Linked DNA regions of Arabidopsis thaliana. The protein of the gene in region 2 purifies or fractionates together with the protein of the main gene of each other region. This does not show direct contact. Each region holds a gene or a part of one and is shown on either strand. Other genes may lie near its edges.

Region 1 (5,388 bases), on a different chromosome or scaffold from region 2:
CATATCTCGAGTACTGTGTTGATTGGATTCACATATCTTATGTTTCCAGAATCTGAACAATACAAAGAGGGAAGAGTCTGTTTTACACTACACCAAATCCTTACTCTAGGGAATTCTTCTGTATTCTCTTTAGGTTTAATTCTTAGTAAGCGAGTGAATAAGAGAATTTACTAAAGATCGTTCATAAGTGGACTATTGAAGATGTAACTAAGGCAATAGTTTGAAATATAAATGCCAATCACAAGTGGACTGATGTTTGAGTAAAAAAATCTCTTGAGAATTTCAGCAAAGTCTAAGAAGATAGTCGAATACAACAAACTAAACAACGACATAAAGATTTCGAAAGGGTACAGCAAAACCAAATGCCAAGTATACCGCATTACTCGAACAAACTGAAACCCATGTCCTGCAAATTGACACAAAACACACAACATGTGAGCCATCATTTCATTTGAAGAGATAAAAAACTGTTGTCAGAAAGAAAGTAAAACTTACATCATCGGATTCTTCTTTCTCTTCTTTCTTCTCTTCTTTCTTGGACTCAGCAGCAGGAGCACCACCACCTCCTCCACCTCCAGATGTAGCAGAAGCAACCGCAACACCACCACCACCTCCTGATGGTACTGAAGCTAACTTCTCCCTTCCAGCAGCAATTAGCTCAGCCAAGTCTTTCCCTTTCACTTCCTTCAACAAAAGCTCAATCTGAGAATCCTCTGTCTCAGCACCAACTGCAAAATCAAACATAACAATTGCCACACTCCATCAATTCTTCCTCCACCACAATTACAGCAATCACCTATAACAACACAGTCCAATACCAACACCATAATGCCTCTTATTGCATCACACTGTTCATTTCCAGCAAACATATACAATTCCTAGTTCCAATAACATTTCAAGTTAAACAAATTCTCACTACTAGAATAATCATGTATACATTCCAATGCTCAAATCAAAGTCACGAACCTGATCCAAGAATATCCTTGATATCGCCAGTGGTTGGGGAAGCTTTCCCGCTCAAGACGGCAAGCAAAAACGCAGCAACAACCTTCATTTTCTGAAGAAAAACAAAAACAGATCAAAAATCAAACATAGTACGATTACGTAGGAGAAGAAGGAGAGAGAAATGGAAATGGAGGCGCTTACTGCGGAAGTGTTGATGGATCTCGCAGGAGGCGGAGTGAGATTAGGGTTTTTAGACGGCGATGGAGAAGAAGTACGAAAAAATGAAAACTATATGATTTATATACGCTTAGGGTTTTTAATCTTATCAATGTATCTCCGAATTTAAAATTTTATTTAGGCCCAGTTCTTTCAAGCCCATATTTATATGGGCTCAATATTTCGATTGACGGGTAATATTGATGTTGAGAAGAGAACGACCAGATTATACAATTCTCTAGTTTTATTTTGTTTGATGGATGGGATTTCACCTCTAACCTCGTCTTCTATAGCACCTTCTTGGTCGATGACATCAAAAGTAGCTTCAACTCTACACCTGTTGTTTCCGAAACATCGCCTGCGTATGGCATTTCTCGGTATATGTAGTTGACAAGTGATATGTTTTGCAAGTTACTAATAAATTTGTGGTGTCAAAGTTTTAGCATAGTCTAGTTATTTTCTCATACGAATTATGATGTATTTACATATTGGACGGCATTGAAGGGGGAACAATTCAAGACTAGAATTTTTTTTTTATCCTTTTCTTACAATAATACTATTCTTGAAGTCATACGTAAGCCGAATCTGAATCTAGGTTCCAAATGAACGACAACGTATCATTAGCAAAGTCAAGGCTAGAGGTATCTCATCACCATTCGAGTCAAGATTTAAGACCATGACTAGGACCAATGCTTTTGTTGGCTACTAAAAACTCCAGAGTGACAAAGGCGATTGAGATAGAAGCAGAAATGCTAACAACAAAGTGCAAATGACATTCGGGTCAAAAACTCTTGAGAATTTCAGCAATGTCTAAAAAAGATGATCGAATACAAACTAAACAACAACAACATATAGATTTCAAAAGGTTACAATATTAAAAGAGGACAACAAAACCGGACTTTTCATGCTACTACCAGCTTACTCGAATAGACTGAAACCCATGTCCTGCAAATTAAAAACAAAAACACACACAAGTGAGCCATCATTTTTAGGTTAAATTTCAAGCTACTATTAAGATCAAGACTTTTGTTAGAAGGAAAGTAAACTTACATCATCGGATTCTTCCTTTTCTTCCTTCTTCTCTTCTTTCTTGGACTCAGCAGCAGAAGCACCACCACCTCCTCCACCTCCAGATGTAGCAGAAGCAACCGCAACACCACCTCCGCCACCAGACGGCACTGAAGCTAACTTCTCCCTTCCAGCAGCAATCAACTCAGCCAAATCTTTTCCTTTCACTTCCTTCAACAAAAGCTCAATCTGAGAATCCTCTGTCTCAGCACCAACTGCAACACCAAACAAAAACAACAATGCCACATTCCATCAATCATCCCAAACTCATTATTGTATCCCATTGTTCACTAAATCATTACTCTTAACAATACTTACGCATCTCGACTATCATAAACACCGTTTAAGTCGATAGGAACCATAAAAATCCCTAATATACATATCATTTCAGCTTAAGCAAGTTCTCAACTATCTAATAAAGATTTCAAATCGAATTCTCCAGCGACTCAAACAACGAATCTAATCATATTGTAATGAAATCGATTGCGATTCATCAAAACGAACCTGATCCAAGGATAGTCTTGATATCGGCACTGGTTGGTGAAGCTTTTCCGCTCAAAACAGCGAGCAAGTATGCGGCAACAACCTTCATCTTCTGGAAAAATAGTGAACAGATAAGTAAATGGAGAATTTGATCGGAGAAGACGATGGAGAAATTGAAATGGATTAGTGTCGTTTACCGTGGAGACTGATAGATCTCGTAGGAGATTGTGAGATTAGGGTTTTGTGCAGACGGCGATGAAGAAGTGAAGAATTAAGGAAGTATTTTTAGTTTATATACAATTAGGGTTTTCTCTACTTTGAGTCTCTCCGGGTTTAAACTATTATCGGATATGTTTAATGGGCGTTGGCCCGGTTCATCGCTAGGCCCAATATTAATTTTAAAGGTGATGAGAAAATTTCTCAATTCTTCAGTCAATAAAAACCTATTTCTTTTGCAAACTTTATAACTCTTGATAATAATGTTCATATAAGTGAAATCATAAAACAATATTGTTTGTGTAAACAAAACAATTAATCTTGTTATCACTAATAAAAGTGAAACAAATTAAATTTATAATTAGTAAATAAAGTAGATTTATGCTTTTTAAAAAAATCTTTTTTGCAGTAGCTAGATTGTGTCTATATGTGTAATCTTTTTTATTTTTTATCCTTTTAAGTAAGTTAGAAAAATCTTTAAAATGTATTATATAAAAACATTAATGGCATTGGATATGAATAATAATTAAAGATTTACAAAAATTTACCTTTTAATATATAGTAGATTTCATTCCATTTAAAATCATTTATGTAAATGAATCTTAATCCGAGAAAAAACAATTATATCTTGCATGGTCTAGAAATTATTTAAGCAGCATCGTTACATACTTAGAATCGGTATATATCTACACAACGTGTTTGCTCCACCGTATAGGAAGTTTCACAAAGAAAAAATCATAGCTAATTCTCGTTTTCTGTCTCAACCTTGTCGATCAAGTCATCTCCCATATAAGGTAAAGCTTATTCGATTGTTTAGCAATGGATCTGAAGAAGCCGAGTGCTCGAGGTGGAGATGATAAGCAGCAAATTGTTGGCGATGAACACTCTAGACGTAATAAGCTCTCCGAGGAAGACAAAGTCCGTTCTCCCATTTGCTGTATGATGGGTCATATCGATACTGGTAAAACAAAGCTGTTAGATTACATCACAGGAAATGTACAAGAAGGCGAGGCTGGAGGTACCACTCAGAAGATGGGTGCAACATATCTCTCAGCGAGAAACATCCTAGAGAAGACCATGGAACTGAAATCCGATACAAAACTTAAGGTGCCACGTCCACTGTTTATCGATACACCTGGTTACGAGTTCTACACAAATCTTCGCTCAAGAGGCTTAGGTTTGTGTGACTTTGCAATTTTGGTTGTTGACATAATGCATGGGTTAGAGCCACAAACTATAGAATGTCTAAATCTTCTGAGAATGAAGAATACGGAGTTCATTATTGCATTGAATAAGGTAAAACTGTTTGTGATTTGTTTTGTTCTATGGTGTAAATGTTTTTATGGAAAATAAAATTTTCAATGTACTTATAGGTGGATAGGCTATATGGATGGAGAATATGTGAAAATGCTCCTATCTTGGAGGCGATGAAGCAACAAACTAAAGATGTTATAAATGAATTTAACATGAGGCTGAATGAGGTAAGTTATTCATCTAGAGTTTATCATCATCTATGGGTTTGAGCTATCACTTTGTGTATATGTTGTTTCATTGGTATTACAGATTATAAACCAGTTTAAGGAGCAAGGACTCAACAGTGAGCTTTATTACAAGAATAAAGAAATGGGAGAAACTTTTAGTATTGTTCCTACTTGTGCTATTAGGTATATGAGTCTCTCTTTGTTTATTGTTTGTAATTTATCCTAAATGGTTGAGTAATTTTGGTTCTTGATATTTCAGTGGGGAAGGGATCCCAGATCTATTGTTGTTGTTGGTTCAATTGACTCAGAAAACAATGGTTGAGAAACTAATTACATATGTTGACAAAGTGCAGGTCTTGCTCCTTTTCTCTTTTAGGTAACACTTGTTTGTACAATACTTCAGCATGTTGGATTCTGATCCTTTCTTGAAACTGTTAAGCAGTGTACTGTCCTAGAGGTCAAAGTTATGGAAGGCTATGGTACAACGATTGATGTTGTGTTGGTAAATGGTGAACTCCATGAAGGTGGTCAAATCGTCGTTTGTGGTCTACAGGCAAGTAAAAACTTATTATCCAAACTCAAATAAGTAATGCATTGGATAATACTTAGAACTTAAATAATGATCTTATATCTTCTTATATTTTAGGGACCTATTGTCACAACGATTAGAGCATTACTGACTCCTCATCCAATAAAGGAGTTGCATGTGAATGTACTTATTACTGTTATTCCTTAAGAAATTATAGTTCATGCAAATACCATTACGTACTTTTTCTATACACAATGAGAATTCTTGGTCTGGTATTTCAGGGTAATCATGTACATCACGAAGTAATAAAGGCTGCAGAGTGTATCAATATTATTGCCAAGGTGATTGGACTGATACTACATTAATCTTAATTTCTAGTCTCTTTTAATTAATGATCACATCCTGAATATTATTTTCCATTTTTTGGTTGTGTTTAAAAGGACCTTGAAC
Region 2 (5,580 bases):
TATCGGATTGGCAATGTAACACTCATAACTTTTGATGGTAGAGAGTTTGTGGATGTCAAATATCGTTCAACTATGAGAAATAACTTGACTTCTATAGTTCTATGAGAATACAGTGAAATAATGCCACTTTAGGTAATGAGGTTTTGTTGTGTCAATTTATAATGATGATGACTGCAACTAATACAATAGAAATACTCTTGTATCAACTTAAAATCGTTGCGGAAAAGGTTCAATTTGTGTCTAAACATATATGAGATCACATTGTTAATTGTATAGCAGATTCAAACATATGTTTTAAAGAAAATGAATTTACTGATATAGAAGGGACTAATAAAAGGCAAGAAAATTCGTAGGTCGATTATGGAAGATTAATGAAAAATAACAAACTAATTCAACAATAACATAGTTCTAATCAAATTGTTTTTTTCTTGCTTTGTCGTTATGACTTTATGCCATTTTATTCTACCATTTTTGTCTACGCTTTCGTCATTCTCGGTGTTACCAATCGAGCCCATGACATCGGTAAACATGAATACACTATAATGCATTGCCTACGCATATGTTTATCTTTAGTATTTTAGGCTTTAGCTCATTTATTTTAACGTTAAAGAAGTGTGAAACAATCTTTTAATAAATGCAAAAGTAGAAGCACGAAGGAATAAAAAAGGTATATACCGCATTCCTACGCGTATTCTATATGTTTGATTTTCTAGCCATTTTAGCTTTGGACTGTCACGTGAGTCGTGACGCTCTACCCCCTAAATCTATGTCTATAGTAGTATGTACATATCAGACACATGCATGAGGCACCTATATATTTGTAAATAAATTATACACTATATGACGTATGGATTCAATGATACCAAGAGTTTTTGCTTGTAACGCCCAAGATTTTCGAAACCTACAATCTAGGATCTAAATAGTGTACCTCCAGTTATAAATTATATTTGTCGCTCTAGATAAGTTAGAGTAATGGCCAAATCTCGATAACAATTTATTTGTGATCTCCTCACATGAATTTCTTTGGAACCAAATTAATCCCAAACGATAGGATTCAATAATCAGTTAAAGTTTTGTAGTATTCGATAGTGGGTTAGAGTAATGTAGTGATGCAAACAAGAGTGCTAATCTATTGGGTCTATACATTGGATCAAATTTAATATATGGGCCGAACTATCATACCAAGCGTCATGCTTTGAAGAAAGTAGTTGAACCAAGCCATTATACCCTTTTAACTACTAACTAACCCATCTCAAATATCCAGATTTAAATTGGTGTCCATATTATATGAAATAAGTTAAGACTGATTTGCCAACAAGGCAACAACACCTTAATAAATTTAAACATCTAACTGAAAGAAATGTATTTAATCATCCAACTAGGTACATTTAAGAATAGATCACATTCATAATTTTGTTATTATCATTTACAACAGTCATCATGGATTTGTCTTCTCTTTGATCCTGTCTTAGTGTCTTGAAATCTTTGAGCATTTCTTCTTCTTCGTCTCTTATAATATATTTAAAAGGTTATATATTTACATATATACAACTTTGATTTCGATACTCTTGAGAATCCAATAATGAAAGCGAAAGTCATAGAGAAAGAGAACTGCTTCGTATGGTTGGTTAAGGCTCCTTTTCGTCTGTTGATCATGGCACGTGACGCCTACATACGAAGCATTACGTCATGCTCCGGCGCCGGAATTTATTCCGGTGGTGGATCATCTGGTTTTGGTCAACTCTCCGGAAACTTCCAAATCTGCGATCCGCCTAGCACCGCCCTTCCTCGAAGCTTTACCTTGACGTCGGCGGCACATGATCAAGGCTGTCTGACACGTGGCGGACAACCTACGATTGCAATGAGACAATCATTGTCCTTGGATCATCGGAAGAACAATAGATGCGTTGTTGTGATGGGAAGAATAGATGAGGAGATGTCTTGTGATGATGATGATGAGTTTCAAGAAGAAGACTCTTTTCTTGATTATGGTAATTGCGAGATTCTTACAAAAGAAATAGAAAAACCATCTGTTGACCAAAAACATAAGCCTCTAGGACGATTTTGATTTTGATTTTTAGGTTTATTATTAGGTTGTTGCATTGTGCTTATTGAGAAATATGGATCAAACACTTGAAAAGAAAAATCATTTTGTATCATTTAATATTATTTCTTGTATTACTTATAATTGATGTTAAAAAAAATTACATACGATTCTAAAAGTGGTGATGCAAATAATTCACATTGTTTTGTTAACAACCAATGCAGTTCTACATGATTTTAATATCATGAGTAATTTCTAAAAACAAATTACAACAAAAATTAATTTCTTTTAACCACAATAACTTCACAAAATTACAAACATAAAATACAAATTCAAAACCACAAGCACAAAAAATAATAATTTAGAAAGTTTATCAATTACTATTTTTGCTGTAAGAAAAAAAGTTTCTCAATTTTATTTTTGTCTGCAATATCTTTACAGATTCCAAAACAAAACAAAAAAACTATCTTTTTATTTATATATATATATATATATATATATATATAAATGTAAACTTCCTCATAAGTAAATTAACAAGAATATATATCAAACAAAATCTTGTAATTTTTTAATATAAATAAAGCTAAACCTTTACGAAGAAGAAAGACTCTGGTGATTGATTCTCCAAAGTCTAAACCTAGTAAAAGCCAAGTCTCATTCCTCGGGTGAACTCAACAACCGACGATGGCAGAACTAAGGTTATCAGAAACTCGAGACTTAACTAGGATCGAAAGAATCGGAGCACACTCACACATACGAGGTTTAGGTCTCGACTCAGTACTCGAGCCACGAGCCGTATCCGAAGGAATGGTTGGTCAAATCAAAGCACGTAAAGCCGCCGGAGTAACCCTCGAGTTGATCAGAGACGGCAAAATCTCGGGTCGGGCTATACTTATAGCGGGTCAACCCGGAACGGGTAAAATCGCAATAGCAATGGGTATAGCAAAATCACTTGGACAAGAAACACCATTCACTATGATTGCAGGAAGTGAGATCTTTTCTTTAGAGATGTCAAAGACTGAAGCTTTAACTCAAGCTTTTCGTAAAGCTATTGGTGTTAGGATCAAAGAAGAGACTGACGTGATAGAAGGAGAAGTTGTGACGATTTCGATTGATAGACCTGCTTCTTCTGGTGGTTCTGTGAAGAAGACTGGGAAGATAACAATGAAGACGACTGATATGGAATCTAATTTTGATTTGGGATGGAAATTGATTGAGCCATTGGATAAGGAGAAAGTACAGAGTGGTGATGTTATTGTTTTGGATAGGTTTTGTGGGAAGATTACTAAGCTTGGAAGATCTTTTACGAGGTCTAGAGATTTTGATGTTATGGGTTCAAAGACTAAGTTTGTGCAGTGCCCTGAAGGTGAGCTTGAGAAGAGGAAGGAGGTTTTGCATTCTGTCACACTTCATGAGATTGATGTTATTAATAGCAGGTTTGTTTCTTGATCTTGTTCTGTATTTGTCAATTGCTTAGTTTTAGGTTTAGGTTAAAAAGATTGCTTCTTTTTCACGTATTGATGCTTTTTCAAGTTCTTATTTGGATTCTTGTTTTCTTTCTGTTGTTTGCAGGACTCAAGGGTATCTAGCCCTCTTCACAGGTGATACAGGCGAGATTCGTTCAGAAACCCGAGAGCAAAGCGATACTAAAGTGGCAGAGTGGAGAGAAGAAGGGAAAGCTGAAATAGTACCTGGTGTTCTCTTCATTGATGAAGTCCATATGCTTGATATCGAATGCTTCTCTTTCCTGAATAGAGCTCTCGAAAACGATATGTCACCAATCCTGGTCGTGGCTACAAACAGAGGAATGACAACAATCCGAGGAACAAACCAGATATCAGCACATGGGATCCCAATCGATTTTCTTGACCGTCTTCTTATTATCACAACACAGCCTTACACACAAGACGAGATCAGAAATATTTTAGAGATCCGTTGCCAAGAAGAGGATGTGGAGATGAACGAGGAAGCGAAACAGCTTCTGACTTTGATCGGATGTAATACCTCGCTTAGGTACGCGATTCATCTAATCAATGCAGCTGCCCTAGCTTGCCTGAAACGTAAAGGGAAAGTCGTAGAGATTCAGGACATTGAGAGAGTTTATAGATTGTTTTTAGACACCAAGAGATCGATGCAGTACTTGGTTGAGCATGAGAGCGAGTACTTGTTTAGCGTGCCTATAAAAAACACACAGGAGGCTACTGCAGGAGAAGAAACAGAACACGAGGCCATGGAAGTTTGAGAATTTTGTTTTATTGCTTTTTCAAGAACTTATTTTTTCACCCCATTTTGTCATGGACTCATGGGACATGGTTGAACAAAAGATGGAATTTTTCAAGTTTTCGAGTTCTCATTGAGAGATAGACAACGTTTTGTACTGTGTTTTTGACGGAGCGATAAGATGGTATGACAAAAAGGTAAGATTGTGGAGACGTTTGAAGGGTTAATTGGTAAGGCTACCTAAGTTCTCACCTAATGTTTGTATTCAATTGGCTGATTATGGTGGAAAGATGGCGGTTTTGTGGGTCGAACAATCTCCTTGTAGTAACAACGGCTATAAGAATAAGATTTGGTGCGCGGAGATTGCTCTTGAAAAACAAGAAAGTTGTGAAATTTGGGGAGAAGTTGAGTGGTTTGGTCATGTGCTTACAGTTCCTTCAACATGTTTTGTTGCCAAGGTTATTGCTGCTACTGTTTGATGATGAATGAATGTGTCACAAAGCTTAAATATGTTTTTTTTTGGTGTATGCAGATATGATGATGACATGGCTTAATTTTGTCTCTTTTATTTATGTGACTGCTTTTACTTTCGTACGATTTCTTCATCCAAAAAACAAAACCCAGAAAAATCGATGAGTGACTCATCATCAGTCATTGTCCGAAGCTCAAATTTCATTGTCGTGATTCTCTTCCTCAACCTCGTCACTTTCTTCTCCCTTGTCTCCTCCAATGAACTTGTCTTTGGTAAGTTTGTGTCGGAATTGAATTATACTTTTAGGGCTTTCTTCAATTCTTTATGGGACTCGAATTTTGTAGTTTAGAATCACCAAATTTCAAACCTTTTTTTACATAATTAAGACAATTGCGATGAATTATATAAAAAAAGATCCAATTTTGTTGTTTATTAGCAGCTGTGGGTGAAACTGGTTCACTACAAGTGACTCCAAGAACAGAGGTGATATATTCACCTGGTCTGAAACGAGGTATAACATCGATATGTGAGAGATTACATATCCATGGATTACAAAGAAGACTTGAGCACATTGATAGATATGCACATTCACTAAAGTTGACTCTTTTGAGTAATAATGCTTCCAACAGTATCGACGTTTGCTTCCACAGGTAAAATCTAGTATCTGTGTAATCTCTATGAATCAATCTAGTATCTGTGAAATCTTAAAGTTTACTTCTTTCTGATTATAGGAATTCGTCGCGTGCAATTGGAATGTGTCCTGATAATCAGTGGAAGAGAGTGTCCAAAGGGTTACCTTGGGTTGGGATAATGTCACCTTTTGACTATAAGATTCTTGATATAA
Region 3 (6,934 bases), on a different chromosome or scaffold from region 2:
TCTACGAAACTGGTAGAATCTGGGGGTTTCTCTAATCATCAACCTTCAAATGTCGTCAACAACATCAATAGATTCAATACCAGCTACTGCTGTTTTCCCTAGTGTTTCCATGCCTGTCACCGTAGTTTTGACCGGTGTTCTTCTCTTTGTAATTTTCGCCGGATTCTTCTCTCTTTTCTTATGGCAGTTTCTTCTGAATCGATTATTTACTACTTGGAACCTTCAACGAACACCTTACGGTGACCTAATCCATGTGGCCACTCCGCCTGAAAATACTGGCCTCGACCCGTTTATCATCCGGTCCTTTCCTGTATTCCACTATTCATCTGCAACTAAGAAAAATCATGGGACGGAATGCGCTATTTGCTTGTCAGAGTTTTCAGATGAAGATACAGTTAGGCTCATAACGGTTTGTCGTCATCCCTTTCATTCAAATTGCATTGATCTTTGGTTTGAGTTACACAAGACTTGTCCTGTTTGCCGGTGTGAGTTAGATCCTGGCATGATTGGATCTGGAAGGCTTGAATCATTCCACAACACAGTCACAATTACTATTCAGGACATAAACCATGATGAGGAAAATCCTCCAACCGCTGGTTCAAGCAAAAGGCTAATAGAAGCCTCGGCTTGGCGATTCTCGAGGTCACATTCTACTGGACATTTCATGGTTAAGACTACGGATGCTAATGTGAAGTCCAAAAGAAGGCATTACCAAACAGGAAGCTGTGTCTCGTTCGACGAACTTACTCGGTATGAAGGAGCAGGATGGCAATGGCTTGGTGATTCATCACACATTAGCAGGATTGAAGTATAGTTTACTGAATTTCTGTTACATCTTCATTATTGTGTTCTTTGTAGCAGTAGTTATTTCAAAACTGTAATAAGATCTCTAGTCAGATTCTCATGCTCCTATCGGATAACAGAGAAAATAATAAGAGTCACTCCACAATGTTTTCTTCGGAAGTGTTTTTGTCTTCTACAGTGTCTCCATCTTCAGAAGCGTTGTTAGCTTCTACACTGTCACCATCTTCAGATTCACTGGCGCTTCTCAGACTAAACTTTAGAGTGATAGGTCTACCCATTATCTCCTATAGAAAAACCAAATTGTAATGAAACACTTTACATGCTCAAGGCTAAAGGAGCAAACTTTATATTAATATGCTTGGAACTTCATACCTTCCCATTGAGTTTTGTGATTGCATTCTCAGCTTCTTCTCTAGTAGCAAATGAGACAAAGCCATAGCCAGAAGATCTACCTTCGGGGTCAGCGAAAACAACCCGAGCTGAGACCGGGTTGAAATCTGCAGCAGTGAAAAGCTCTCGGAGATGTGTTGATCTTGCTTTCCAAGCGAGATTAGATACGTAGAGTTTGTGACGAGTGTCTCCAGGGGCAGGAGAAGGAAGATCGTTCGGTGATTTCGGAGTAGGCTTCTTGAACCTTCTTGCAAAGCTTACGCTAATGATCCTCCCTGACACTTGCTGAAAACAAAGAAGATAGAAGCTTAAACATCAAACCTTAGCTAACAACTCAACACAATGTATGATTTAGTAGTTTGAACTATCTACCTAAAAGGCTTTGAAATTAAACAAACAACACTCAATCAGAAAAGAATCTAAGGGATTTGAGCTTACAAAAGTATCGAACTTATCAATAGCTGCTTGAGCTTCTTCTCCAGAAGCCATAGTTACAAAAGCAAATCCTCGGTTCTTTCCATCTTTTTGCCTTATAATCTAGGAAAAGTTTATAAATTGAGGTAAGGCAATTGCTAGTAATAACATAAAGATTGAAACGAAATTGAGAAAGAAGAAAGACCTCGACATTGTTCACAGTCCCACATTGTCCAAAGAGCTCGGAAATGTCATTTACACTCATAGACCAAGGAAGATTGAATACAAAAAGCTTCCTTTTCAGATTTGAATTCTGGGTTTCTTCAGTCTTCTCCTCCTGCGACGTTTCTTCATCCGCCGATGTTTCTTTCTCCGCGACGGAACAGAGTACGGAGACGAGCCGCCGTGAGTTATCGCTGCCGGAACGTAGAGAGAAGACGGGAGAGAGATTGCTGGGAATTCGAAGACTAAGGGCAGTAAGTTTTAAGGAAGAAGAGCGTTTAGAAAAGAGATAAGGTTTTGAAGAGGAAGAAGAAGAAGAGAAGGAGAAAATGGAGAGAGAAGCTTCCAAAACCGCCATTGTTAGCTTTGGCACTAGAGAAATGGATTAGACCGAGACAAAAGGATAAAACTTTTTGGGCCGGTTTGGTTATTCGGAAAAAAATGAATTGTGAACCGGGTCTACCAACTTCGGTTTTTGAAGGTAAATGGCACGAGGAACTTAACCGTATATCATGTATTTTTTTTGGTATACCAATAAATTCCAATCCCTCCACATTGCAGTCAAATGGAAGAACAAAAAAGTGATGAATCTCATGATTTTTCTCTTTGAAGTCAAAACTCGAATTTGACTAAAACTGAATTTGATTGGTGTATATTCTATAACAATGTAAATACAAAAGTTTAAATTTCAATATTCTAAATAAATAAGTTAGTAAATTTTTTTTGAGTTTTGAGACATTTGGTGAAATACAAAATGAAGAGACCAAGATTTCAATCAATCCCAAAAAGTTAATTAATCCTAAGAAAAGTCCAGCCAGACGTCTCCAATCCATCAAACGATGTCGTTTAGTAACAACTTGTAGTCTTGTACACACCAACCAAACCATTTCCTATTTATTTTTCACAAAACGAAAAAAAAAAAAATCCAAATTCGAGAAAGAAGAGTCCAACACAAACTCGGAGACGAAGAAGAAGGAGAGAAGAAAACCATTAAGCCATTCCTTCTTCCGTATCACTCTGTCACCTTCAAAATCCTAAACCATAATTTTTCCGAATTCGTTGTGGAAGAGACTGCTTGAGTGAGTCAGAGGTGGGTTTACGTGAGGTATTGCTGACAATGGCGTCTCTGGGTCTATCCTTTCCTCCCGCCGCAAAAACGCCGACGTATCTAGCCTCTTCGTCTTCAACTTTCTTCTCTAACTCTTCTCTATCCGTCAGAACCTCTCAGTTTCGCTCCCGAAACTCTGTCTTCGCTTGTGTTGTAAGCGGTGTTCATGAATCTATAGAATTGCTTATTCTGCATTTTTGAATGTTGATCCTTCCTTTCTTATTACGTTTCCGGATTTGAGGTTCCTAGATTGAGTGGACCCTAATAGCCATCTTGTCAAGTTTGTAGTTCTGAGATTTTTATTGGCGCATGAGCTGAAAAGCTCGTCTCTTTCGTTTGAATATTGTTTGTTTATGCGAATATAGCTACATAAAGGTTGTCTCTTTCTTCAGAATACATTTGTTTGAAACTATCCAGGAACAGAAATTGAGACCTATATGATTATATGAATCTCTGATTGAGTCTTGTTGTTGTTGTTGCTAGAAATGTGATATGCCGGAGTCATTGAATGTGGGAAACGGGAATCCAAGTATCCCAATTATTAATGAGAGGACACTTCCAAAGTTCTTGGAATCTGCTCGTATGGAGAAATCAGTCAATAGAACCAATACAAGGTTGAAGTTGTTCTCTGGTACTGCAAATCCAGCACTTGCTCAGGAAATTGCTTGGTATATGGGCTTGGATCTTGGCAAGGTTAATATTAAGAGGTTTGCTGATGGAGAGATCTATGTTCAGCTACAAGAGAGCGTTAGGGGATGTGACGTCTATTTGGTGCAGCCTACTTGCACTCCCACTAATGAGAATCTCATGGAGCTTTTGATTATGGTAGATGCTTGCCGAAGAGCATCAGCTAAGAAAGTTACAGCTGTGATTCCGTATTTTGGATATGCAAGAGCTGACAGGAAGGTAAAGTCTCTTTGTGTGGTTTAGCTACTTTCACATGATATGGAGGGTTTGTTGATAACTTAGCTATTGGTAATCTTTTCTGGATAAAATTGTATGTTTTGCTGCTTGCAGACACAAGGGCGTGAATCCATTGCTGCCAAATTGGTTGCAAATCTTATCACTGAAGCTGGTGCAGATCGAGTTCTTGCTTGTGATCTTCATTCAGGACAGTCGATGGGTTATTTTGACATTCCAGTCGACCATGTGTACTGCCAGGTTCACCTCTAAAGCCACGTTCTTGATACCCCTCTTTATGCATTGTGTGTATGCTCCTTTGTGTATAATACCTTTATCTGCTTAATTGTTTCAGCCGGTGATACTTGATTATCTTGCTAGCAAGTCAATTCCCTCAGAGGATTTGGTAGTGGTTTCTCCTGATGTTGGTGGAGTAGCCAGGGCCCGCGCTTTTGCAAAGAAATTATCAGATGCACCACTTGCCATTGTCGATAAAAGGCGTTCTGGACACAATGTTGCTGAGGTATCCCTTTCTTTCAGAGTCAGAGTTTGCTCACCAACACCGCTTGCTTCCCCTTAAGTTCACATTTGTTATACTTTCCTTTCAGGTCATGAACCTAATTGGTGATGTAAGAGGGAAGGTGGCAATAATGGTGGATGATATGATTGATACTGCTGGTTAGTAAAACGGCATGGAGTTGTCATTTTACCGACAAACCAAGTTTCCTATCTCTCTCTATTCCCCATCAACTTCTCCTTTTCCAGGCTGAATCATCTATGAACCATTCTTGTTTCAGGAACCATTGTAAAAGGAGCAGCTTTGTTACACCAGGAAGGTGCTCGGGAGGTATATGCGTGCTGCACACACGCTGTTTTCAGGTAAACCACTAACCTATATTTTGTTTGTTCCTGAACAGTCTCAAAATCACTACTTCCTGAAGCATTATTTGTTTTCTTTGTTTCAAACAAATCAATATGGAAGCCCGCCAGCGATAGAGCGATTATCAGGGGGTTTGCTGCAAGAAGTGATAGTGACAAACACATTACCTGTAGCAGAGAAGAATTACTTCCCGCAGTTAACAATATTATCAGTGGCTAATCTCCTGGGTGAGACCATTTGGCGTGTGCATGATGATAGTTCCGTCAGTAGCATTTTCCTTTGACCTTTCTCATTGCAACCAACAATTTGAACGATTCTTGGTTTGTTAGTCGGTTTAGAAAGTTTATCCCGGTTCATGTTCTAACCGGAAAGCTTCAACAAAATTTGCTTGCATTGTCTTTTGATACAGCTTAGGTTTTTCTTATTTGCTCCACATCTCAAAATTATGGATGCACAAATGGTGTTGAACCGATTTTTTATTATGGTGTACACAAGTTTTTAACTTAATATATAGAACATCTTGTATCGTATCTACATTTAACATGGTGCAAATTGGCTCAAAAATCTTGTTGACAATTTGATAATGGGTTTCATAATCAGACAAATCTATGTATTGGATTGTACAGTCCACGGCCAACCAAAAAAATAAAAAAAGCCCAAAAGAATAGGTTGAGTCATAATTAGGGCTTCTATTTGACTAGTGTCAACTAGTATATATAGAAGACTCACATTGGAATCACAAGACAAGTCTATTGTTTTGTGTTCCGCCTCAATTAGTTCTTAGGGTTTTGTCATCTGTGATTTTGTTTGGCTCTGTTTTTCGATTTGTGCATAGAAATTTATTTAAATAGAAGAGCTGTGAGGAAAAAATCGTGTGCCAGAGATGGTTAATCCATCGCTGACGGTAATACACAACCCTCTAAGAAGTTCTGAGCTTTTCTAGATCTTAATCTCTTCCTCAATTCATGTTTTTTTTGGATTTTTGTAAAAACTCTTTTAAGGACTTTTATGAGTCGAGGTGACGATAGAAATTCACAGGTCTGTCAATCCACTGATATATGTGATGTAATTGTGTTCTCGACAGGTTCTGATCGACTCTACAATAAAAATCCTTAAAATCTTGTTTTCAATTTTAATATTTCGTTTTTGTATCCTTAAAAAAATCGTTTTCTTTTGAATCTGAGTATAGGATGAATCTCATATATTGATGTTATTTACTACTGAAATTACATTGATGTTTTATTCACCTTGGAGAACTGATACTCAGATTCATAGTCTCTTTTATGTTTTTGTACAATTCGAATGTCTTGTCGATTTTAAGGATTTGGTTTTTGATTCTCTTTGTTTTCTACTGGGCATATGATGAAATTATATTTCATGGGTAATTTGCGTCTGATTCTATGTGATGCTAACTTTTATGATTATCTGATGCCCAGAAAATATACCGAATGTTTTTTTTTGTTTTTTTACTAGTTGTGCATAATGGAAATCACTTGACTAATTAATTTGACTTGTTCACAGTTCTATTCACTTTAAATGCAAAAACAATTCTCAAAGGTTTTCTACTGATGCCTTGAAATATTTGGATATTTTACTTCGGAACAAAACAGAGTCCTTCAATAATTGGAGTTATCAATTGTCAGCTTAGATGACAAGCTGAGATTATTTTGACAATTCACTTGCCTTAAGCAGAAACAATTCCAACAAACAGACCTGTATCATACTTAATTGGACATTGTTATAATGGAGAAAATAATGGAACTTATCGAAGTTGTAATGAGTTTTGTGAAGTTGATGCCTTATTGGAAGACCAAAAGAAGTGCAAACAATTTGTATTGATTGATGTTTGATTTCAGATATTGACAAATCTACAATTCTCCCTAATTTCACCTTCAATACCTGTAAGAACATTAATATTACCCATTTTTAACATAGATTCCACAAAATCTATGAAGAAAAGATCTTGATTAACTGCATATTCCCAAACTTTCTGAAAGATCTCTCCTTCATGATCTTCTGAGACCAGAACGTTATCCGAAATCAACAACCCTCTCCCTTCTAACAGATTGATGAAATAATGGTTATCGAAGTAAGCTGGTGTCTTAATATCCAGTGGAGACAGTTCGTTGTCTCGGCTTGAATCTTTGCATTGTGACCCTAGGACTCGACGGAACGTGCTGTGTCTTCTGAACTCATCGACGTAGAACGTTTGTTCC
Region 4 (6,689 bases), on a different chromosome or scaffold from region 2:
ATCCAAACATTTAGTCTACAAATATGCTTTAATCATAGCTGCACATTAACTATCCGACCATTGCTCCACCTACGGGACTATAATCTCAACTGATAAGCATATTGTCTAAGCGTTTGGTTAGTTATGATCGTAAATAACCTGATTTTTATTCTGAATTTTAATTATTACATAAGAGACTTCTTTTGAAACAAAATCTTTGGAAGAAAAAAAACGAATGTAGCGACTTGTTCGAGGCCATTATCAATACGAAAAACAAAATTTGATAGGCACGGAGAATCGCAAAACTTGTTATCGCCAACCTTCAAGGCAACTCACGTCATTTAAACTAGACGCCCTTGCTCTGCTAATTGGCTTAATGTTTATGACAAGAAGAAACAAATCGAACTCTTCACGAATTCATTATCAATACCAAAAAAAATAGAACTTAGAATATGAGATTGGGGACATCAGTTCTCCAAGGTGAAAAACACATCAATGTAATATTATCAGTCGCAAATTACCCATTTGTTTTATGATAATCATCATCTGCCCCACTTTCAACAAAACTAATGATCTAATAAAAAAAAATCATTGGGAGGGTTTTTATTAAGAGTAGATCAGAACCTGTCGAGATATCACAATAACATCACTCAAATGTTGTCAGTGGATTGACAGACTGTGAATTCTTTATCGTCACTTCGACCACACACCAAAAAATAGAACAAAAGAAAAGCTTAGAACTCTAAGGTTATGTTTGCCGTCAACGATGAATAACTTCATCTCTGGCACACGGTAGTTACATCACAGCAACTACTCAAGATTTTCGAACATAAGAATTCAAAACCACAAAAGAATATGATTAAACTATGAAACAGAGATTATAGGGAGACATATCGGACCACAGAGAGACGAAGGAAACACTTATCTGTTTCAAGCGGCGATGAAAAGACTATTTATATGCAACGACGGGCTTGATAAAACCCTAATTTGTTCCTTTTTTTTTGCAATAAAAATTGGTTAACCGAAGAAAGAACACTAAACCATAAAAATTAGTCACTTATTTCATAAAATGCCAAAACTATTTATTGCCAGAAATATGCAAGTTGGGGAAATTGTTAATTTAGAAATTCTCAATAAATCCTGAGAAATAATGTTTACACCATAATGTAATTATTTTCAATAAACCAAAATATTAAAATTTTATTGTCATTGATATCTCATAACTCTATTATGCTAAAAAGAAGAAAAGATAGAACTGTGACATACTTTAGGTGAGTAAGAGAAGCAAGACATGGTTAGACTAGAAACTGTCGAGAAGAAGTAGAACAAAAAAGAGGAACTTAGACCGATCCTAAACCGATTAACAAAAACCAACAAGTATCAAAGGAAAATACTACTAACGGAGCTATCATCATGGACACGCCAAATGGTCTCACCCAGAAGATTAGCCACCGATAATATCGTTAACTGCGGGAAGTAATTCTTCTCCGCTACTGGTAAAGTATTCGTCACTATCACTTCTTGCAGCAAACCGCTTGATAACCGCTCTATCGCAGGAGGACTGTGACATTGATTCATTCAAGAAAACGGTCTCTTAGTTTCATAAACGAAAATGGAGAAGAACTGGTAAAACTCAAGCTAATGGGTTTACCTGAAAACAGCGTGTGTACAGCAAGCGTAAACCTCACGTGCACCCTCCTCGTGTAAAAGAGCTGCTCCTTTCACAATGGTTCCTGTAAATAAGAAGATAAAAAACTGGTTCTTAGTAATGTATGGCCTGCAAATCACAGAATAATCTCTATTTAGTAATATCTCGATTATGGCCTAGAGTTTGGAAGCTTTTGTTTATAACAAACATATCAACGGAAAGAGGAGTTTCTGGCAATTTTTACTAACCAGCTGTATCAATAATATCATCCACCATTACTGCCACCTTCCCTTTAACATCACCGATTAGGTTCATGACCTGTGGGAAAGAGTATTATCAACACATGAGAACTTGCGTGTAGAAAGGATAAAATGAAGGTAAATTTAAATTTTTACCTCAGCGACATTGTGGCCGTGACGCCTTTTATCGACAATGGCAAGTGGTGCATCAGATAATTTCTTAGCAAATGCACGTGCCCTGGCTACTCCACCAACATCAGGAGAAACCACTACCAAATCCTCAGAGGAAATTGACTTGCTAGCAAGATAATCAAGTATCACAGGCTGAAATGTAATCACAATTGTGTAAGATTTTAAAGGTTGCATAAAAAGTAGAGGCTTGTCTATCAAAAAGGTTGAAACTTAAGATACCTGGCAATAGACATGATCCACTGGTATGTCAAAATAACCCATGGATTGTCCTGAATGAAGATCACAAGCCAGAACCCTATCTGCACCGGCTTCTGTTATAAGGTTTGCTACCAATTTGGCAGCAATAGATTCACGCCCTTGTGTCTGAAAACATCAATAGATACATCAGATGAAATTACTTGACATACTGTATCTACCATTGAAGAAGACAAAAAGAACCTACCTTTCTATCAGCTCTTGCGTATCCAAAATACGGAATCACAGCTGTGACTTTCTTAGCTGATGCTCTTCGGCAAGCATCCACCATGATCAATAGCTCCATGAGATTCTCATTAGTTGGAGTGCAAGTAGGCTGCACCAAAAAGACATCGCAACCTCTAACACTTTCTTTGAGCTGAACATAGATCTCTCCATCAGCAAATCTCTTTATGCTAACCTTCCCAAGCTCCAGACCCATATACCAAGCAATTTCCTTCACAAAATTCCAAGAGTTTAGCATATACTTCACCAGAAGAAAACTTGATTAAAAAAGACAACCAAAGGTCTCGAGAAAACTACCTGAGATAAAGCTGGATTAGCAGTACCAGAGAACAACTTGAGCTTAGTATTGTTTCTACTAACCGATTTCTCCAACCGTGAAGAATCAAAGAACTTAGGAATTGTCGTCTCATTAATAATTGGAACACGAGCGTTCCCGTTTAGTGCCTTAGGCAAATTGCATTTCTATCAAACACAATGACAAGGAATTGTGAAACCAAATTCAAAATGTTAGACACAAAATTTAACCAACACACGATCTCTCTTACATCTCTCTACAAACATAAGAATAACCAAACATTCATGAACAGTATTCAACACACAAGATTCCAAAGCTGAAAGTTCCAAATTCCAAATTCTACAGTCACATACATGGACAAAGTCAAGCCAAGAGCGACGACAACACACAAATTCTCACAAAATTAGCCTGTAAACGAACTGCTAATAGCATCTACTAAATCCAGAAAAATCTCACAGATCATCAAAGCATAGATTCATCCAAAAACAATTTGAATTTTCTTATAACAAATACATGAAACGCAATGTGAATATCGAATTCATTCATTAACATGAAGGAAAAAAAATGCTCAATGCTCACCGCGTAACCAGAAACGCAGATTCGAGAGCGAGACTCAGTGGTCCTGAAAGAAATCGAGGAACGGGAGAAGAGAGACGAAGACGACGAGGAGAGATACGAAGGAATCTTAACGGAGGGAGGAGAAGTCAGAGCCAACGACGCCATATGTAAATATATACGTCGGAAACACCTGGAATCTCTTGAGTCACGGCAAATATCAGACTCCTCTCAACGTTAAGAATTCCGATAGAGAAGAGAACTAATCGAAGGATATTAGGATTTAGGGTTCCAAATTTGGAGTGAGAAACGAAGGAGAAGGAGGAGAAGAAGAAGGTAATGGTGAATATGTTTGTTGTTGTTTCTTTCTTCTCCGGGAAGAAGAGTGACTCAAGCGGTGCGGCGATGGGTCTTCTCTCTTTCTCGAAATTTGGAATTTTCAATTGTAATTTTGTTACACTAAAAACATACAAAAATAAATATTGTTTAGAAACGGTGTCGTTTGGTTGATGGCTAAAATCGTCTCTGCTCGTAGCTTTCACAGCTTACGTGTCATGTAGGACTTAACATTGAAGGAGTCGAAAAGAGAAATTGTTTTCAAACACAAATTCTAAAGAATCTCATACTGATTCCTAATGCCCACTTGTTTCTAAGCATTTTTCATGCCACTTTAGGATTCCAATAACTAATTATGAACATAAATTTTCTAAAAAAAGAATATATTTTCAGCAAAAAAACTTTTTTTAAAAAAAAAACCATTTGTATTTTGGGTTCTTTCGGCTATACAAATAGATTGGGTCACATCATTAATATTGGCCATTGCAACAATTGAAAAGTGCAAATTTTGGAAAGAACAAGTCAAAAACTCAAAAGGTGAAGATGTGATTCTTCTCCTACATAAAAAAGGTTACAACTTACAAAAGACCTCTTCAAGGTACTTACAAAACATCATAGAGATTGCCTTAATACTTGTTTTGAGTTTAAAGAGATCCAAATTGAAAACATATGCAGCCATAAGGATTTGTTGCCATTTGTGTGAAACTGAAAAGGCAAACGGGTTATAATAATAAGAAGCCACAATGTCATATTTAACACATTAAAGATATAAGGAGATGTGATTAGCCATTGCCACGACCTCTTGCGTATCCGAGTCCATTAGACCATTTGCAATATCATTTTGCTCTAAATGATTACACGTGGTCAATTCATATTTCCATCTACCTAAATCCAAGCTCATAACGGATTACACTAAACAAAAAGACCAAAATGTCTCTAAGTTCATTGACCATTTTAGAACGTCATTCTTCGCTTGTCGAAGAATATGCAGTGAGAAGCAGAGCTAAATAAGATAAAAACTCAAAAGGGTTATAAGACATAAGAATACACAACGTCAAAAGAATAAAAACTTGAGCAACATAAGTTTCTAGGGAAAACTAGTTTCTTTAAGAAGAGAAAACACAAGTCTATAAGATTGGATCAAACACAGACCAACTTGACTAATGAAGAAGACTGAACTAAACTTCAGTCGAATGCAATCTGACATGTAGGTGAACGCCTGAACAACAATGACAACTCCTTGAGCATCTCAAATTTCTTGTTGATGTCAGTGGATTTAGAGGAGATAGTCACCTTCTTTAAACAGCTTCCACTTCTTAAGATGAATGCCGCTACTTCTTTCTCTTCTTCTGTTCCTTCATATTTTACCCATTCGAGAGTTTCAAGACTTGTCAACAGACATTCAGGAACTGCACTCGGTTCATTCCAGCACGGCCGCGGTTGATGAGATCGATAGACATGGTTCTAAGATAAAAGTAAGATATCATCACACTGTTATTCTACTGAAAATATATGCTGATATATCATAGAGACTGAATAATTCAGGTTTAGATCTGCAGACCTTAACAAGTTTGAGTTCTCGTAATTTAGGGGAATCTCTGAGTACACACATAAGTAGATTTAGCCACTCTGTCTCACATGTGCATATCGTTAAACGTACAAGACAGTGGAAGACACTACCAACAGGATAAGCATCCTGCATAAGAGACACTACATAAGTAATTTGATCACAAAGAAACCAATAATATATGTAGATAACAGAACTATAGAAACATATTACCTTAGAGGATGGTATACATACATAGAGACGCTTGACGGAAGAAATAGAACCCATGAGCTGCTGCGTATGTACATAAGAATTGCAAACATTTGCCTTCACAACCTTAGTCATATTATTCTCAATGACACAAAAACCACCCCTACCATCTTCAATGTCTAAGCACTCCAAAGAAGGAGTATCTATCACAAACCCGCAATCAGCATTTATACTGGCTAATTCCGTTTCATGCAAGACTAAACACTTTAGAGAAGACACTCTAACAGTGAAAGTAGTCACATTGTCATAGGGACAGCGTTTCACAACCAAGTCTTCAAGAACAGGACAATTCGATAAAAGCATCTTGATCAGCTCATCACCTGGAAACTTCATGGACACAAGACTCAAAGTCTTGAGAGATGGAAATGAAAACGAGGACGTAGCATCCACAAGAACCGCGTTATTAAGCTTCAAAGTCACGAGCATTCTACAGCACGTATACAGGCTCCTTGGAAGTACCACTGAAGAATTATCACTATTAGACTTATCAATCTCAATTATCAGCTCACGCAAACAGCTCTTCTCTGCTGTTTTAATCCAAACTCTAATATCTCCAGTACCACATGAGGTTTTACCGAGTTTGAAATGCAAAGTATCTAGAACTTGCGCATCGTGCAGAGTGAATGACCTGTCAACAAACCGCGAAAAGCTTCCATACTCAATAGCTTGATAGCTATCATCATATATAAGCTTTGGCACCAACATCCAAAGAAACTGCCACCGTTTCGACAAAACCATTGTCGAAACAACATCTTTAGCAGACAGTAAAGACAAAATTCTCACTAGTAGCGCTTCAGGCAACTGACTTAACTTATCCATACTAGCTAACAGCTTCCACAGGTTTAGGTCAGAACCTAAAACTAAACAGATAAGCCTGAAAACAGCAAGGAATGCAAAATTCTCAGTGTGAAGTAAGTTTAAAAAAAACACCAACAAGCAACTATGGAAGGTCAAATCAAAACCCTAGAGAGATACAAAAGAGAAGCAAACGATATCCAAACTCATCGAGATTGTTCATGAAATCGCTTCTTCGAAATCAAATAAGCAAGACGAACCAAAAGAATTTCACAGGAAGAAAAAATGAAAGACCTGAAACCCCACCGGAATTTTTCACTCAACGGAGAAGAGGAACCCTAATTGATTCAGAAA

What was found.
Region 1: the proteins of AT3G49830 (region 2) and AT2G27710 fractionate together in Arabidopsis thaliana (co-fractionation; one large-scale study listed by BioGRID). This does not show direct contact.
Region 3: the proteins of AT3G49830 (region 2) and AT2G35390 fractionate together in Arabidopsis thaliana (co-fractionation; one large-scale study listed by BioGRID). This does not show direct contact.
Region 4: the proteins of AT3G49830 (region 2) and PRS2 fractionate together in Arabidopsis thaliana (co-fractionation; one large-scale study listed by BioGRID). This does not show direct contact.

What each region holds. Positions count from the first base shown.
Region 1 is NC_003071.7:11,814,362-11,819,749, reverse strand, and holds AT2G27710 (60S acidic ribosomal protein family), read right to left. Parts: upstream 3,117-5,388; 5' UTR 2,910-3,116; exon of another isoform or gene 2,825-2,909; 5' UTR 2,822-2,824; coding exon 2,734-2,821; intron 2,445-2,733; coding exon 2,212-2,444; intron 2,107-2,211; coding exon 2,080-2,106; 3' UTR 1,778-2,079; downstream 1-1,777. Other genes in the region: AT2G27720 (60S acidic ribosomal protein family), read right to left, coding at 380-406, 496-728, 788-832, 967-1,054; AT2G27700 (eukaryotic translation initiation factor 2 family protein / eIF-2 family protein), read left to right, coding at 3,748-4,224, 4,302-4,409, 4,492-4,592, 4,669-4,762, 4,849-4,962, 5,056-5,121, 5,220-5,279, 5,379-5,388. UniProt on the Arabidopsis thaliana protein: Plays an important role in the elongation step of protein synthesis.
Region 2 is NC_003074.8:18,479,655-18,485,234, forward strand, and holds AT3G49830 (P-loop containing nucleoside triphosphate hydrolases superfamily protein), read left to right. Parts: upstream 1-2,594; 5' UTR 2,595-2,728; coding exon 2,729-3,480; intron 3,481-3,616; coding exon 3,617-4,286; 3' UTR 4,287-4,326; downstream 4,327-5,580. Other genes in the region: AT3G49820 (uncharacterized protein), read left to right, coding at 1,583-2,068; AT3G49840 (transmembrane protein (DUF2215)), read left to right, coding at 4,897-5,008, 5,173-5,386, 5,468-5,580.
Region 3 is NC_003071.7:14,893,595-14,900,528, reverse strand, and holds AT2G35390 (Phosphoribosyltransferase family protein), read left to right. Parts: upstream 1-2,646; 5' UTR 2,647-2,947; coding exon 2,948-3,091; exon of another isoform or gene 3,092-3,421; coding exon 3,422-3,844; intron 3,845-3,955; coding exon 3,956-4,099; intron 4,100-4,193; coding exon 4,194-4,361; intron 4,362-4,446; coding exon 4,447-4,516; intron 4,517-4,635; coding exon 4,636-4,717; coding exon of another isoform or gene 4,718-4,721; exon of another isoform or gene 4,722-4,820; coding exon 4,821-5,001; 3' UTR 5,002-5,275; downstream 5,276-6,934. Other genes in the region: AT2G35420 (RING/U-box superfamily protein), read left to right, coding at 50-814; AT2G35410 (RNA-binding (RRM/RBD/RNP motifs) family protein), read right to left, coding at 939-1,088, 1,177-1,479, 1,633-1,731, 1,814-2,188; AT2G35380 (Peroxidase superfamily protein), read right to left, coding at 6,571-6,934.
Region 4 is NC_003070.9:11,678,900-11,685,588, reverse strand, and holds PRS2 (phosphoribosyl pyrophosphate (PRPP) synthase 2), read right to left. Parts: upstream 3,856-6,689; 5' UTR 3,557-3,855; coding exon 3,413-3,556; exon of another isoform or gene 3,001-3,412; coding exon 2,836-3,000; intron 2,750-2,835; coding exon 2,501-2,749; intron 2,422-2,500; coding exon 2,278-2,421; intron 2,191-2,277; coding exon 2,023-2,190; intron 1,946-2,022; coding exon 1,876-1,945; intron 1,713-1,875; coding exon 1,631-1,712; intron 1,541-1,630; coding exon 1,360-1,540; 3' UTR 1,069-1,359; downstream 1-1,068. Other genes in the region: AT1G32375 (F-box/RNI-like/FBD-like domains-containing protein), read right to left, coding at 4,910-5,188, 5,286-5,420, 5,505-6,359.